2 linked regions of the Xenopus tropicalis genome follow. The protein of the gene in region 1 interacts with the protein of each later gene in a biochemical or structural test. Links are inferred from orthologs where the notes say so. Each region holds a gene or a part of one and is shown on either strand. Other genes may lie near its edges.

The links.
Region 2: the proteins of abi1 (region 1) and enah form a complex in vitro, tested with the Homo sapiens proteins (2 studies listed by BioGRID). The link is inferred for Xenopus tropicalis from reciprocal best matches to the Homo sapiens genes ABI1 and ENAH.

What each region holds. Positions count from the first base shown.
Region 1 is NC_030682.2:24,953,815-24,962,526, forward strand, and holds the start of abi1 (abl interactor 1), read left to right. Parts: upstream 1-3,997; 5' UTR 3,998-4,088; coding exon 4,089-4,205; intron 4,206-8,712. UniProt on the Homo sapiens protein: May act in negative regulation of cell growth and transformation by interacting with nonreceptor tyrosine kinases ABL1 and/or ABL2. May play a role in regulation of EGF-induced Erk pathway activation. Involved in cytoskeletal reorganization and EGFR signaling.
Region 2 is NC_030681.2:8,527,860-8,534,601, forward strand, and holds the end of enah (protein enabled homolog), read left to right. Parts: coding exon 1-25; intron 26-794; coding exon 795-952; intron 953-1,043; coding exon 1,044-1,101; intron 1,102-2,828; coding exon 2,829-2,880; intron 2,881-3,729; coding exon 3,730-3,796; intron 3,797-3,914; coding exon 3,915-3,993; intron 3,994-4,765; coding exon 4,766-4,823; intron 4,824-5,927; coding exon 5,928-5,965; 3' UTR 5,966-6,225; downstream 6,226-6,742. UniProt on the Homo sapiens protein: Ena/VASP proteins are actin-associated proteins involved in a range of processes dependent on cytoskeleton remodeling and cell polarity such as axon guidance and lamellipodial and filopodial dynamics in migrating cells.

The sequences.
Region 1 (8,712 bases):
AAAAAATACCGTGCCACAGACAATATTGAGAATTGCCTCTGCTAAAACACGTTGAGACTGTTATCAGTAAATGATCAGCATTGTCTATTTTAGTAGCCACTTCAAGTTGCTGGCACTAGTAGTTCCATGTGTCTTCGCCCTAAGGGCAGTGACACACGGCGAAATTAGTTGTCGCGCGACAAATATTCGTTGTCGCGGGCAACTATTCTCCCCGCAATGCCATCCCACTGACTAGAATGTAAATTGCTGGTGGGATGGCATACGCGGCGCCACGATTTGCCGACGTCGCCCGAAGTTTCCTCTCAAGGCAACTTTGGCAAATCACAGCACCGTGTATGCCATCCCAACAGCAATTTACATTGTAGCCGGAAGGGATGGCATTGTGGGGAGATTAGTCGCCCGCGACAATGAAGATTTGTTGCTAAATCTGATTATTTAGGGCAGTGGTACACGGTAGATTAATTGCCCAACGCAACAAATTTTGTTGTCGCAAGCGACTAATCTCCCCGCAATTCCATCCCACCGTCTAGAATGTAAATCAGCAGTGGTATGGCATATGCGTTGCTTCGATGTCTCGCAGTCGCCCGAAGTTGTCTTGAGAGGAAGAGTTGTCATAAAAACAAATTTACTACCAAATAAAGCCCCCTGTAAGCTGACAGTGTGCATAGAGGCTGCCTAATAGCCAATCTTAGCCCTTATTTGGCACCTCCATGAACATTATGATGCTTGTGTTGCTCTCCAAGTCATTTTATATTTGACTGGATGTTCGGTTGGATGTGGCCATTGTGTGACTTGCACCCAACATCAAGGTCATTATCTGAAAGGTGCTGATTAAAAATTGTTGTGAGTATTAGTGTGACAGTTGCAGTCACCCTAAATGACAACCAAATATTTAAAGCCAGAGAGTAGCAGAAAGTGGTCTGTGAATAACAGCTATACGTACAGGAAGAAGTAAAAAAGGGAAAAGATTGCGGAAGGTATAGGGCAATTGTTTGAAGTAGCAATTAGAAAAGAGGAAAATGCCTAGTCTCCCCCGCAGCCAGTGGGATGTGAGAGAAAGAAAAGCCATCATGAGAGAGCACAGGTTTATTGGCATTTTTTATCATGAGAAGGACACACATTCTGTCAAATAACAAAACAAATCAATATAGCACAAGAGAGGGGAGATAGGAAGCAAGTTGGATTCTAAATAAGATTATTGGGCAGAGGTGTAAATGGCTTGAACAAAGGCAAAGTACTGAGAGGATGAAAGCAAATGTGGCAGGAACAAAGATTTGGGTGGATATCACCATTATTAAAATCAAGAGAGGAAGTGGGCACAAGATCTGAAATGGCTGTGCTTCTCTAAAGCAGCAGTAGATGGAGAAGTAAGATTTTGTAAAAAGCCAACATTTTGGAAAATTCATGGAAAAGATTGTTTGGTGGGCAGGCAGGGTAAGATTAACATAAATGGACATAAATTAACACAGATCTATCAGATGTGAACAGTAACACCAAAAAATAAAAGTAATTAAAATATAGTTTACTGTTGTGCTGCACTGTTAATAGTCCTGTGTGTACTGGTGGGGATGCAGGGCAATTAGGCAGATATTAGTCGCCCGCGACTAATCTCTCTGTGTGCCACTGCCCTTAGGGATTAACATTGCTGAAGCACACAGATGTCAACTACTCCCCATGTCACACAAGTAATAATCTAGTCTTGGTGTAAAACTGAATTCCTCTTCACTCTCAGCACCCAAAATGTCACACCCTTTAAAGAAATTATAGTGGAATAGCCTGATGAATGCTTGTCAGGTGATTTAGATGCATCTCTGGGGGTGTTGCATGAAGCTTTGTGGCAGTGCTCTATTCATATACAGGTACCCAAGTGCCTGTGCCCAAGGTGGCAATCTAGAGAGGTAGCCCACAGGTGCCTATATATATTTATATTACGGATGCACCATATCCACTATTTTTGGATTCGGGTGAACCCCGTAAAGGATTCGGCCAATACCGAACTGAATACGAATATGGAAAGGATATGGAAGGGTTAAAGAGCCTCATAATAAATGTTCAACTTCCCTGTTTATGTGACAAAAAGTCACGTGATTTTAAGGATTTGGTTCGGCCAGGAACATGAATTCACCCAAAAAGGATTCGGCCAAATACCAAACCGAATACAAATACTAATTTACATATGGAAATTAGGATATGGAAGGATTAATGAGCGCCATAGGAAATGTTCAACTTCCGTGCTTATGTGACAAAAATTCACGTGATTTTAAGGATTTGGTTTGGCTAGGAGAATGTATTTGGCCAAATCCTGATGAAAAAAGTAGAATCTTACCCAAATCCCGAACCGAATCCTGGATTCGGTGCATCCCCTATATATATACATACCCCCCAAGTGTCCCAGTTTTTACAGCGCAACCCGCTGTCCCAGATTGTTCAATGAATGTCCCGCATTACGAAAATGCAGAACATTCATTAAACTATCCAGGCCAGCGGGATGCGCTGACTGCAGCCAAGCGCTCGGGCTCCGTCTAGTCCTGTGGCTCCTGCTTCTTATTCTGCTCCTCGTATGGCGGTGACAGGCCCTTTTATAAGTTTGCGCCCGTGCGTATGTGTGACGTCACACGTACGCACGGGCGCAACCTTATAAAAGGGCCTGTCGCTGCCATAGAAGGAGCCGCATAAGGAGCAGGAGCCACAAGAAGCAGCGTCTATGTGGGGCACTGTGTATGGGGGGCATTTACTATTGGAGGTACTCTCTATGGGGGCAATTGGGGGCTACTGTGTATGGGGGGCATTTTCTATTGGAGGTACTCTCTATGGGGGGCATTGTGTATGGGGGGAATTTTCTATTGGAGGTACTCTCTATGGGGGAAATTGGGGGCTACTGTGTATGGGGGGCAATGTGTATGGGGGCTACTGTCTATTGGGCCATTGGGGGCACAATTTTAACTATTTTAAAAATAGGGTGTGGAAATTGGGGCGTGGCCACAAAGTGGGCGTGGCCAAACAAATTTGCCGTGCTGCGCGCACCAACTCTTTTTGTCCCTCTTTTCATTTTTCAAATGTTGGGAGGTATGTATATATAGATATATATTTGCAGCTTAATCCAGAGTTAAAGCCAAGGTGGAGGGGGGGTTCTTTTCTCTTCTGTGATAGTTGAGTACGCAGACTGTGAAGGTGGTCTGGGGGCCGGTGCCTAGGGCAGCACCGAGCCCGGATAGAGCTGCTTTGTGGTAGCCTTTCCCAGGCCCCGTCCTGTGGTTGGGGGTGATGACATGACTGGTCAGGCTACAGGCCAATCAGGGAGAGACACCTTATTGTGACTGTGCTTTCAAGATGATTCAGATGGGCCAGAGAGGTTTATAATATTAGCAGCAAGTGTATTGCCTGTAATAATAATGGCCCAGCCCCAGCTGGTGTGCTACTGGCCCAGAGGCAACCCTAACCTTACCGCTAACCTTGCCCCCAGTACAGCCACACTAGCCCTGTGCCATTACCCCAAATGGTAACGTGAAATCAGGTCAGAACAGGGTTACCACCTGGCAGCTGCAAATGCCAATGTTATAAACATGAAAATCAATACGATTAGAGCAGAGCTGGTATTTATTGTCAGAAAAGGTGGCAACTCCCAGCCTGTAATATGCTAGGGTTGGCTCATCCTCATAACATGCGCTTGGCATTAAAACCCACATAACATTTGCGTGGGTGCATGTAACGGCATAGTACTTCCTATAACAAACTGTATGGCCCTCATAGCCACAAGCTTACTTAGTCATACTATAAAGCACAGAACCCTGTATTGCTACTACACAGCAGCCCCACTGTGAGGAGTTTCTACATATCCCAAAGTGCTTTGAGTGGATTTCCTGGTCACGGCGCCCACCCCACAGCAACTCCCAGAGTGCTCTGCGCAGGTTTCCTGGTGACAGCGGCGAGCTGAAGGGGCGAAGCGCTTTTGAGGGGAGGAGCCTGGGGTGAAAGCGAGGCTGGGAATCCCAGAATACCAGGCTTGAGCAGGCAGGCAGCCTGGCGGGTGTGGACTTAGCTGTTCTTCCCTCAGTGTAAAAGGAGGAAGCGATGCGCAGGGCTGGAAGATGGCTGAGCTACAGATGTTACTAGAGGAGGAGATCCCCGCCGGGAAGAAAGCTCTGATCGAGAGCTTCCACAACCTGACCCGGGTGGCCGACTACTGCGAGTCCAACTATATCCAGGTAAGCGGCGGGCTGGTCAGCACCCTGTATTCGGGCGTGTTTATGTCAGTGAAAGGGGAGGGGGGGCAGGAAGTGGGGCATCCTGAAACTCAAACATATCCAACTGGCGGCCTTGCTAGGGCTGCATATAGACAACAAGCGGCTGCCAGGGGCTCATGGGAGTTGTAGTTCGCTTACAGTTGCGGGGCTACAGATCGGAGCCCCCTTGGAGGGAGTACTTTCGGTATGGAGCCTGTGTCAGTGCTAGCGGCTGTGGGTGTATCCCGGTTCAGCCCATAGGGTGTTGCCCTTTTTTTTTTTGTTTGATTGTGAGTCACCTCCCAGAGATCTCCCCTGGGTGCTGTAAGGCAGGAGGGTTATGGAGCGAAGCCCTAGGCACATGTCTCTGGGGCTGCCCTGCTGCCATTAATATGGGGCTTTGTGTCTCCTGCCTGTCTAGACACAGCCGGGAAGCATTGCCTCTCCCTGGGAAGGACTTCAGGGAGCCTTTGTCTAGCAGCTCAACTCTAGGGTTCCTCTACCCAGGGGCTGCCTTTATAACAAAGCCCTTACACCTCTAGCCTTCTGGCTTTCCATTTATCATTATTCTTATAATATTCAATGGTGCCAGTGCAGGGATGGGGTTAGGCAGGGCCCTGTGCCCTGTATTGGGCAGTGTTTAAATGGCTGATGTGCACCCTTCTATTGTACAGCGCAGCAGTATATGCCGGCACTTCATGTTACTATTAATGATATAGATACACACAAGTAAGAACACAAGGGTGTTAGTGTCAGTCTGTCGCTTCTATGTGGCAGGAAGGGCTCTGTAGTAGTATTGTATTACAGGAACTTTCATTCTGTTGGTCAGCATTTATGAAGGTGATTTCAGGTACAGAATGGTCAGATACTCACCCTGCCTTATATCAGGGGAAATAAAGTGCTGCTCTGTATGCTGGAACCCTGCTGTCCAGGTGCCTGTTTTCTGTTGCCTTGAAATTAACCTTTACTATGGCATGGAGAGTTTTTATTTTATTTTTTTATTGTAACTTTTTATTTTTAGTTATTTTTACATTGCAAAAGACACACTGTAGTTGGCTTTGTGAAATCGCATACTTCAAGTACTTCGAAGTATACTTCGAGTATAGCAGTGCAAAGTGTATTTATGTTGTCCAGACAGTGATAGAAAAGAAAACAACAACAATATGAAAAACTGTATAAATGTAATAATAATCAGTTGGATGCACAGTAAGAGGGACAGAGGGGTGTGAGTGTGACAGATCGGTTCAAAAGAAGAACTTTTCAGAGTTTTTTAAGGGATCATGTTGGGCTGGGTGTAGGTAAAGCAGTCAGGAGGCCAGACCTTGTAGCTCTCACAGTGCCCAGACAGCCATATACTGAGCTATTGTATTCTGGAGAGTTGCTATCCCATATTCAGTGATCCTATTGGTACTAACTGTTTCTTCAGGTAGGGTTTATTCGCTGCAGTGATCTGTCTGATATGTTTGTTTTTATTTTTCTCTTCAATAAAATTTCAGTTACAAAAGAAAAAAAAAAATCAGGTAGGGATGGTGAATCCCAGGGTTTTCCACTTGGATTCTATTGGTAGTTGTGCAGCTGTAAGAATAGGATTAGCCAAAATGTGGCCGCTTCTGCGGGCATGGATAGTTTTGTGCCAAGACGATTTGTCATTTTTTTTTATTTCACAGTTCTCAGGCTGGGAATTGAGGCCGCTTGCTAGTTGCTTGGGCTTAATTACCATGGCAACCAGGTGACAGCTTGGAATTCCGAATGGAAAGTGGATATAGGGGGCATTATCAGACAGATAAGCAATAAAAATGTAATAGCAATAGATTTGTGTCATAATCCACATGTTAATGGGTTTTGGTGTCCCAGACTCCAGCCTTCTTGATCTGCTGCTGAGGAGAATAATAAATCAAATTAGTCTGAAATTATAATCATGTTACTTAGATTAGGTCCATGCTAAATGTTTATTTAAAGGGGAAGTTTAATGAAACACATCTTTTACTTTCAACAAAGTAAGAAATCACCCCCATAACTTTGGGATTGAGCATGTATGTTATGGGGGTTGTTTCTTCCTGAATACAAAGTGCCATTTATATTGCTATAAGCTAGGATTATATTATTACAGGTATGGGCTGTATTAATATCACACATTTATAAAGTGCTGACATTCTGCAAGGATGCAATATTACAAAAGGCACAAGAACTGTTCAGAAGCAACAAAGCTACTGTGGTGCATGTTGCAATTATTTGACATGTGAATAAATCCATCAGTTCTCTTTTTGAGCCAATGGGCTGCTGTGCCATAGAGCTGAATGTGAGGCTTTGCGTCAGACAGCATTGTGGAATGACAGCTGTGGCATAGCCTCTGCTTGATGCGAAAGCCTTTGCAGCTTTCTTGTAAAATGTATTTTTGGCTCAGGGATACAGTTGTATGCCATTCAGTATAGCTTAATGTTTGTAAAGAGGTAAGCTAGATAAGGGATCTTTCCATAACCTGGAGCATTAAAGGGGTTGTTCACCTTTTAAATTAACTTTTCGTGATGTAGAGAGTCCTATTCTGAAACAATTTGCAATTGGTTTTCATGTTTTTATTATTTTTGTTTTTGAAATATTTAGCTTTTTATTCAGCAACTCTTCAGTTTGGAATTTTAGCAGCTATATGGTTGCTAGGGTCCAAATTACCCTAGCAACCAGGCAGTGGTCCAAATGAAAAACTGGAATAAGAAAAGCAGTGGGTCTGAATAGAAAGATAAGCTGTAAAAAGTTACAATAATTATGAAATTGTAGCCACAAAGAGCAATAGTTTTTTGGCTTCCGGGGTCAGTGACCCCCTTTTGAAAGCTGGAAAGAGTCAGAAGAGGAAAGCATATTATTCAAAAATGATTTTGAAAAGAATTGCTAGAAGTGAAGGTGTGAAGGTGAACCACCCCTTTAAGGCCTATGTCACACCATTTTCTTCTGCCCAAAAAGGCACACTTGTGTGTTTTTGGGCAGAAATCCTCCCTGTATGGGCAACTTCCTCTCTATGAACCGATAATAACTGATGACATCACTAAGGACTGTTTATAAGGATATCATTTATAGATATTTATGGCTGATGTGTATTGAAGACCGTAATAATGCATTGAATAAAATCTTGCAGCTTAATGTGGCAGTAGATGGTCATTGCTTAGTTTATAAATGATGGCACTTTGTTAATGGTATTGACTTTAGGATGGTCTCCAGTTGCACAGATACGTGGGTAATACTGTGCCATTCACTCAGGTCAGAAGTCACATTGTTTTGGTAAGAAATGACAAGAAGAAATGGCAAAACAGTCAGGCTGGAAAAAACTGCACCTTTGTGACTTGGTATTGATTATTATAGTTTCTTCAAGAAATAAGAGTAATAGAATGAATGAGGGTCAAGGTAACTGCCTTCTACAGGATCCTGCTGCATGTGGCCATAGCCTCAGTTCAGACACATTGACAGAAACGAGATCCTCTGCACTCACCCATTAGTAATATATATAGGACATACATAAGACATTCTGTGCATTAAGCTACCAAGCAATGCCCTCCCCAGTGATTGTTTGTCCATATATTGCAATATATTCAAGCTGGCCAACTACATCAAAGTCATCCCTGGTCTGGCCAGTCCTACACTCACTTTCATCTGATTCATTAAGGCTTTTCTATAGGGGCTAAGTTTTACGTGCAACTTGCTTTCTATGGTTTTCACCTGACAGAAGCTGGAATATCTCAAATATATGTATGAGAGAAATGGCTGCTTGGCAGTGACTAGTTAACAAGACTCCCCCTGATTGAAATAACATAAGAATCCCAGGCCAGAGAAATCTAACAATATTCTGGGCCCCCAGGTAGACACAGTCCCAGACTATCCCATGGCACAGTCTGCATTTGCATGTATGCGCTTAATCTTTCCCAGGACTGGGTCATTTATATCATACTACTGACTGTATACAAGTATTCGTACTCTGTACATTCTTATATGAACGCCAATGCATTTACAGCTTTCTCCACTCTGATGGCATGTTCATCTCTCATGACTCGACTACTCATTTCTTTTGTCACTCCTTTGTTGTACCTGATAAGATGTTTAAAATAAATAAAACCTATAAAAATAAACACAAGGTTTCATTTATCAAAGGTAGTTAGATCTCAACAAAGAACTGGTTTCTCCCGCAGATCAAGATTTTTTTTAAATACTTTGCAAATTTTCTCGTTCATGTGTTCTTACTCAAGAATGGAAAACACACTAACCGTTCTGTGGCATTTTTCACATGGAAAAAAAAGTACAAGCTTGCATAAAAATTACAATCGGATCATAAAAAGAGACCTTGTGGGTCAGATTTGTAAAGGCACAATCACACAAAATTTGAATTGTTGGCAAAGCAATAATGCCGGTGTAAAAATCACTTGGGGTAATAAAAATCTGGCCCAGTCATAGTCTGGTTTAAGGGTTAGGTCACCAAAATTTTTTTGGTATGATGTAGACAGTGATA
Region 2 (6,742 bases), on another chromosome or scaffold:
AGCCAAACTTCGAAAAGTGTCTCGGGTAATTCCAGCATTTTATTTGTGTGCTTTACGGCAGCTCAGTGTTTTAGCCTGAAATTTAGTTTCTTACATTAATTTATTGTTGCACAAATTATCCTAGTCATATCCTAAACCCGATCTCTTTTGTGTTGTAAAAACACTTAAATATACCTGTAGAACTGTCATAAATACTGAACAATTACTTATATAACAATACATATACATATGGTATCTCTGTACAGGCTATGAGCAAACTTAGGGGGCTGTTCCTGCTGAATTGTGCTTAGTACAGGGGAATCCCTATGTGCCATAGTTTTATGGTATCTCTCTGTACAGGCTATGAGCAAACTTAGGGGGCTGTTCCTGCTGAATTGTGCTTAGTACAGGGGAATCCCTATGTTCCATAGTTTTATGGTATCTCTCTGTACAGGCTATGAGCAAACTTAGGGGGCTGTTCCTGCTGAATTGTGCTTAGTACAGGGGAATCCCTATGTGCCATAGTTTTATGGTATCTCTCTGTACAGGCTATGAGCAAACTTAGGGGGCTGTTCCTGCTGAATTGTGCTTAGTACAGGGGAATCCCTATGTGCCATAGTTTTATGGTATCTCTCTGTACAGGCTATGAGCAAACTTAGGGGGCTGTTCCTGCTGAATTGTGCTTAGTACAGGGGAGGGAGGGATATGGTGTTTTTATACAGCATCTTCTCCTGCCTGCTGCTTACATTAACCCTTTCACTGCACACTGATGTTCTGACTTTTCCTACCCCCCCCCCCCCCTCTCCTGTATTCAGAATGAAGATTCCTCCCCTCAGGGGGCTGTAAGTGCCACTGGAACCAGCTCCGCTGCTGCTGCTGCTGCTGCTAAACCAGAACCGAGCCGTGGGAATGGGCCGCTCCCAATGGGAGGTGGGGGGCTGATGGAGGAGATGAGTGCCCTGCTAGCCAGAAGGTTAGGCCTGATGCTTGGCCTAGAGCGGTTATTGGACCCTGTGCAGGGAGGATAATGGCTTAACCCCTTGTTTTTGTCTTTCTCCCAAAAGGAGGCGAATAGCAGAAAAAGTACCAACAGTAGAAGCTGATCCAAAGGAAGACAAAGCTGTGAGTATTTATATATACATATACACATATACTTGGTAATGGTATGACTTTCCCAGTAATACTATGGGCACACAGAATGGTATGACTTTCCCAGTAATACTATGGGCACACTGAATGGTATGACTTTCCCAGTAATACTATGGGCACACAGAATGGTATGACTTTCCCAGTAATACTATGGGCACACGGAATGGTATGACTTTCCCAGTAATACTATGGGCACACAGAATGGTATGACTTTCCCAGTAATACTATGGGCACACAGAATGGTATGACTTTCCCAGTAATACTATGGGCACACAGAATGGTATGACTTTCCCAGTAATACTATGGGCACACTGAATGGTATGACTTTCCCAGTAATACTATGGGCACACAGAATGGTATGACTTTCCCAGTAATACTATGGGCACACTGAATGGTATGACTTTCCCAGTAATACTATGGGCACACAGAATGGTATGACTTTCCCAGTAATACTATGGGCACACTGAATGGTATGACTTTCCCAGTAATACTATGGGCACACAGAATGGTATGACTTTCCCAGTAATACTATGGGCACACGGAATGGTATGACTTTCCCAGTAATACTATGGGCACACAGAATGGTATGACTTTCCCAGTAATACTATGGGCACACAGAATGGTATGACTTTCCCAGTAATACTATGGGCACACTGAATGGTATGACTTTCCCAGTAATACTATGGGCACACGGAATGGTATGACTTTCCCAGTAATACTATGGGCACACTGAATGGTATGACTTTCCCAGTAATACTATGGGCACACAGAATGGTATGACTTTCCCAGTAATACTATGGGCACACTGAATGGTATGACTTTCCCAGTAATACTATGGGCACACAGAATGGTATGACTTTCCCAGTAATACTATGGGCACACTGAATGGTATGACTTTCCCAGTAATACTATGGGCACACGGAATGGTATGACTTTCCCAGTAATACTATGGGCACACAGAATGGTATGACTTTCCCAGTAATACTATGGGCACACTGAATGGTATGACTTTCCCAGTAATACTATGGGCACACGGAATGGTATGACTTTCCCAGTAATACTATGGGCACACGGAATGGTATGACTTTCCCAGTAATACTATGGGCACACGGAATGGTATGACTTTCCCAGTAATACTATGGGCACACAGAATGGTATGACTTTCCCAGTAATACTATGGGCACACAGAATGGTATGACTTTCCCAGTAATACTATGGGCACACAGAATGGTATGACTTTCCCAGTAATACTATGGGCACACAGAATGGTATGACTTTCCCAGTAATACTATGGGCACACAGAATGGTATGACTTTCCCAGTAATACTATGGGCACACAGAATGGTATGACTTTCCCAGTAATACTATGGGCACACAGAATGGTATGACTTTCCCAGTAATACTATGGGCACACAGAATGGTATGACTTTCCCAGTAATACTATGGGCACACAGAATGGTATGACTTTCCCAGTAATACTATGGGCCTATAGGATAAGTATTCCAGCAATGTTGTGCTTACATAGAAATGAAAGGGCTTGAGAATTGCCCTTTCCCACCGTGCATACTTATAGAAACAAATGCATTACTGGAGCCTATACATACACTGTGCCCCCAGTGCAACCATGTAAAACGCCTTTCCTTCCAACACATTTGCACTGAATAATAATAATAATAATACCTGCATCTTGTTATTAACAGGAGGAAGCACCTGAGTCTGTACCTAGCAAGGCCCCCTCGGCCAGCACTCCCGGTGAGTAGCCTCAGGAACCCTGGGGGACCAGTCATTAGTTTGCTCACAGAGCAATTACAGATAATTCACATAAGGGTTTTGTTATAAACACCAGAGTCAATGTAAATGAGATTCTCAGATCTACACTGCCGCTCTAGGTACTGGCCCAAGGGGACCGATATGCCCCCCACCAGTGACTCAGGGGCAACATGCTGCTCCCGAACCCCATGGATGTTGCTCTCAGTGTCCCCAAAGCAGGGAGTTATTTTTGAATTCATGGCTTGGAGGCATAAGGACATTGTGTAGCAAACAGAGCCCCCTGCAGGCTGTTGGTCCACATAGGGACTGCCAAATAGCCAATCACAGTCCATATTAGGCATCCCAGGAACTTTTAAGGGTGAAGACACACGGAGCTACTAGTAGCAGCTACTTGTCACGGCTACTAAAATAGACAATGCTGATAATTTACGGATAACTGTCTCTACGTGTGTTTTAGCAGAGGCAATTCTCAGTATTGTCTATGGCAGGGGATTTTCTGGTGTTTAGTAGCCATGAAAAAGTAGCTGCTACTAGTAGCGCAGTGTGTCTTCACCCTAAATGCTTGTGTTGCTTCCCTGACCTTTTATAACATTCCGTCCATAGATTCAGGTAGCCCTTATCTCATTACTAACCTTGCTTGTCTAACCGAGCTGCTGAGGCGGCAGAGCAAAGGAACCACTGAACCTGTACAAAGCATAAATACAGTATATGAAATCAGAGCCCCTAATGTAACAGTAAATAACAGAGCATTATATTCTTTATAATTAAGTTATAAAATGTTAACGTATATTCATTGAATGTAACAGAGCTGCTGTTTATGTTTCTGTGCAGAACCAACTAGGAAACCTTGGGAAAGGACGAACACAATAAATGGCAGCAAGTCGCCGGTTATCTCTAGGTATCCCGCTCGCTTTAGTTATTTATTCCCATCGTTTGGTCAGAATCCCCCCCTAACCATGTACTTAGAGCCCTTTATTATCTGCACCCGTTTATACTTGTCCTTTTTACTTTTCCAGACCAAAGTCTACACCATCTGGGCAGCCAAGTGCCAATGGAGTACAGTCAGAAACATTAGACTATGACAGATTGAAGCAGGTACAGAATCACATTCATGGGCAGTTTGGATTGTGGTGGGGCTTTTATTTGAGAGGGGGGGTTAAGCTTTAAACAAAGCTGCATTAACTGGAAACATCCAGAAATAAATCATTAGGGTTGAGGAGACTGCCTCATACGTATGCAAATAAACACAAGGAGTTCTGGGAAGTAATGCCAAAGAGCTTTTTGGGATTAGTTGCCAGAATTCCTTGTGTTTATGGGAACAGCCAGGAAATGGAAGTGTAACTGCACAGTGGAGCTGCTAGATGGCAGTATTTGCACAGCTAGAACATACAAAGGGTTAAGGTGGCCGTACGGGGGCAGATTTAAGCTACCTTCAGACTCGGCAGTTTATCTGCCTATGTATGGGTAATCACGACCGGCCTACCAACTGATATTGGGCGCATCTCGATCAGGCAGGATTGATTTTCTCTCGGATTGGGGACCGCGTCGGCTCATTGGTGCAGTCCGATGGCGCCCAGTTTAATTCCATAGGACAAAACAATAGAATCAGCCCAATATTGGGTATATCGTGAGAAATGTTTGGCAGGGTCCCCAAACAAGCGGATTGCACTGTATATGGCCACCCCCCTATCAGGTCTTTGGAATGGGGGGGCTGTTATATTGGGGGGAATTTTGTTGCTTATTATCAGCCATATGTATTTGATGCATTGTGTGGGGGGGGGGGTAAGTCCCAATAACACAGGTAAATAATGGAAGCGCTGGGGGGCAGGAGTCATGTTTAGTAACTGTTTTTCTCTTTGCACTGTAGGATATATTAGAAGAAATGAGAAAAGAACTAACAAAACTTAAAGAAGAACTTATTGATGGTGAGTGTAATCAGATTAATGGCAGATGAATTACTTGCCCCGCCCCTTTTGTGACATCCGAGGTGGACGGGTTGAGCGCTGATCTATAAATACAGGGTACCTGCCGGGTTGGGCTCAGGCTGGGAGCGGGCGGGTTAGGGTCAACCTGGACAACACTACCAGGGTCCCTTTAGGGCCAAGACACATGGGGCGATTAGTAGCCAGGACCTTTTAAAAAGTCACAGCAACTAAGGATAAGAACCCACAGAGCAGTTGAGTCGCCTGTGATAGATCTCTGCTATCGCGGGTGACAATCCGCTCCGAAAGGGCAACAATAGGAGTGACCCTTAGGGTGAAGACACACAGAGCTACTTAGTAGCAGCTACAGAAACAGACAACTGCTGATCATTTACTGATAATTGCCCCTACGTGAGTTTAGCAGAGGGAATTCTCAGTACTGTCTGTGGCAGGGGGTTTCCTGGGATTTAGTAGCCGTGACAAGTAGCTGCTACCGAAATGCCATCCCACCAGCAAGAATGTAAATCGCCGGTGGAATCGCACACGCAGCGCCAAAATCTCCAACGTTTCCTCTTGAGGCAACTTCGGCGATCGCGGCACCGCGTATACCATCCCACCTGCAATTTACATTATATATAGCCTGTGGGATGCTATATTGCCCGCGATTAATCTCCCCGTCTGTCACGGCCCTAAGGTAAAGACACATGCGGCAATTCGTAGCCATGTTTTTTTAAAAAGTCGCAGTGACTAATCCACACAGCGAAAACCACATGTAATTAATAGCCACGGCTTATATAGTAGCCTATGGCAGGAAAGTTGCAGTGACTAATCACCCCATGTGTCTTTGCCCTTAGAGTGAACTACTTATAGCAGCTACTGAAATAGTCAGTGCTGATCATTTACTGATAATTGTCTCTACGTGTGTTTTAGCAGAGGCAATTCCCAGTATTGTCTATGGCAGGGGATTTTCTGGCGTTTAGTAGCCGTTAAAAAGTAGCTGCTACTAAGTAGCTCTGTGTGTCTTCACCCCTAAATTAAGGGCACTTGGCAGCTTTGGTCTGTATATAATATTATATTATGTGACTGTGGCTTCTCGTTTCTCGGCAGCCATAAGACAAGAACTTGGGAAATCAAACAACGCATAGAGAAACCAATGAGGGAGGAGATCTGTTCCCTTGTCCTGGATAGAAGAAATGCTTCACGTTTCCTACAGAGATTCACAGAGGTCCTGCACCTGGGGAGCCGCACACCAACACCCACCCGAGACTTCTCTTGGGATGTACGAGATTTGACACTTGGGGGGTTTCTGCTATTTCCCTGAGCTTCGAGAGCCGCGGGGAAACCGTCTTAAAGTCACAGTCACCATTATGCAGAAACGGTGATTTTTTTCCTTTCAAAAGGGGGCGAGAAAAAAAGAAAAAATCATGTTATTGCACATAAATTCAACAACAACGACAAAAAAAATATCATTTTAAAATGAGAGGAGTGCGGGGGTCATTATGTAAAGACTGAGGAAGTCCTAGCGGTTTGTGCTGCAAGTGTAACTCAGGTTCGTCTTCCTATATTTGATATTTCCATAAGGAACTGGTGTCGCTGTATTGGGAACATTCAAGAGTGAACACAGGGCAATATTTGGGAGAAAAGGATCTCGTTAGGAGTCGATTTTATTTTTATTTTTTTTCCTTTGATCTGACTGGATGCCTTTTTTTTTTGTAGAATAATTTAAAACGACAAAAAAAAAAAAATCTCAATGATCTGACGATATAAATGCCTTTCTGAATCGCTACGATGCTTTACCAAATCCAACACAGCTATATAATAGAGATCTGTAACCTTTCCTACAGCGCCCCCCCGTGCTACGTCTAGGAACGTGCCCATATATATATATATAAATATAGAGAGATTATAGATACATTACTTTC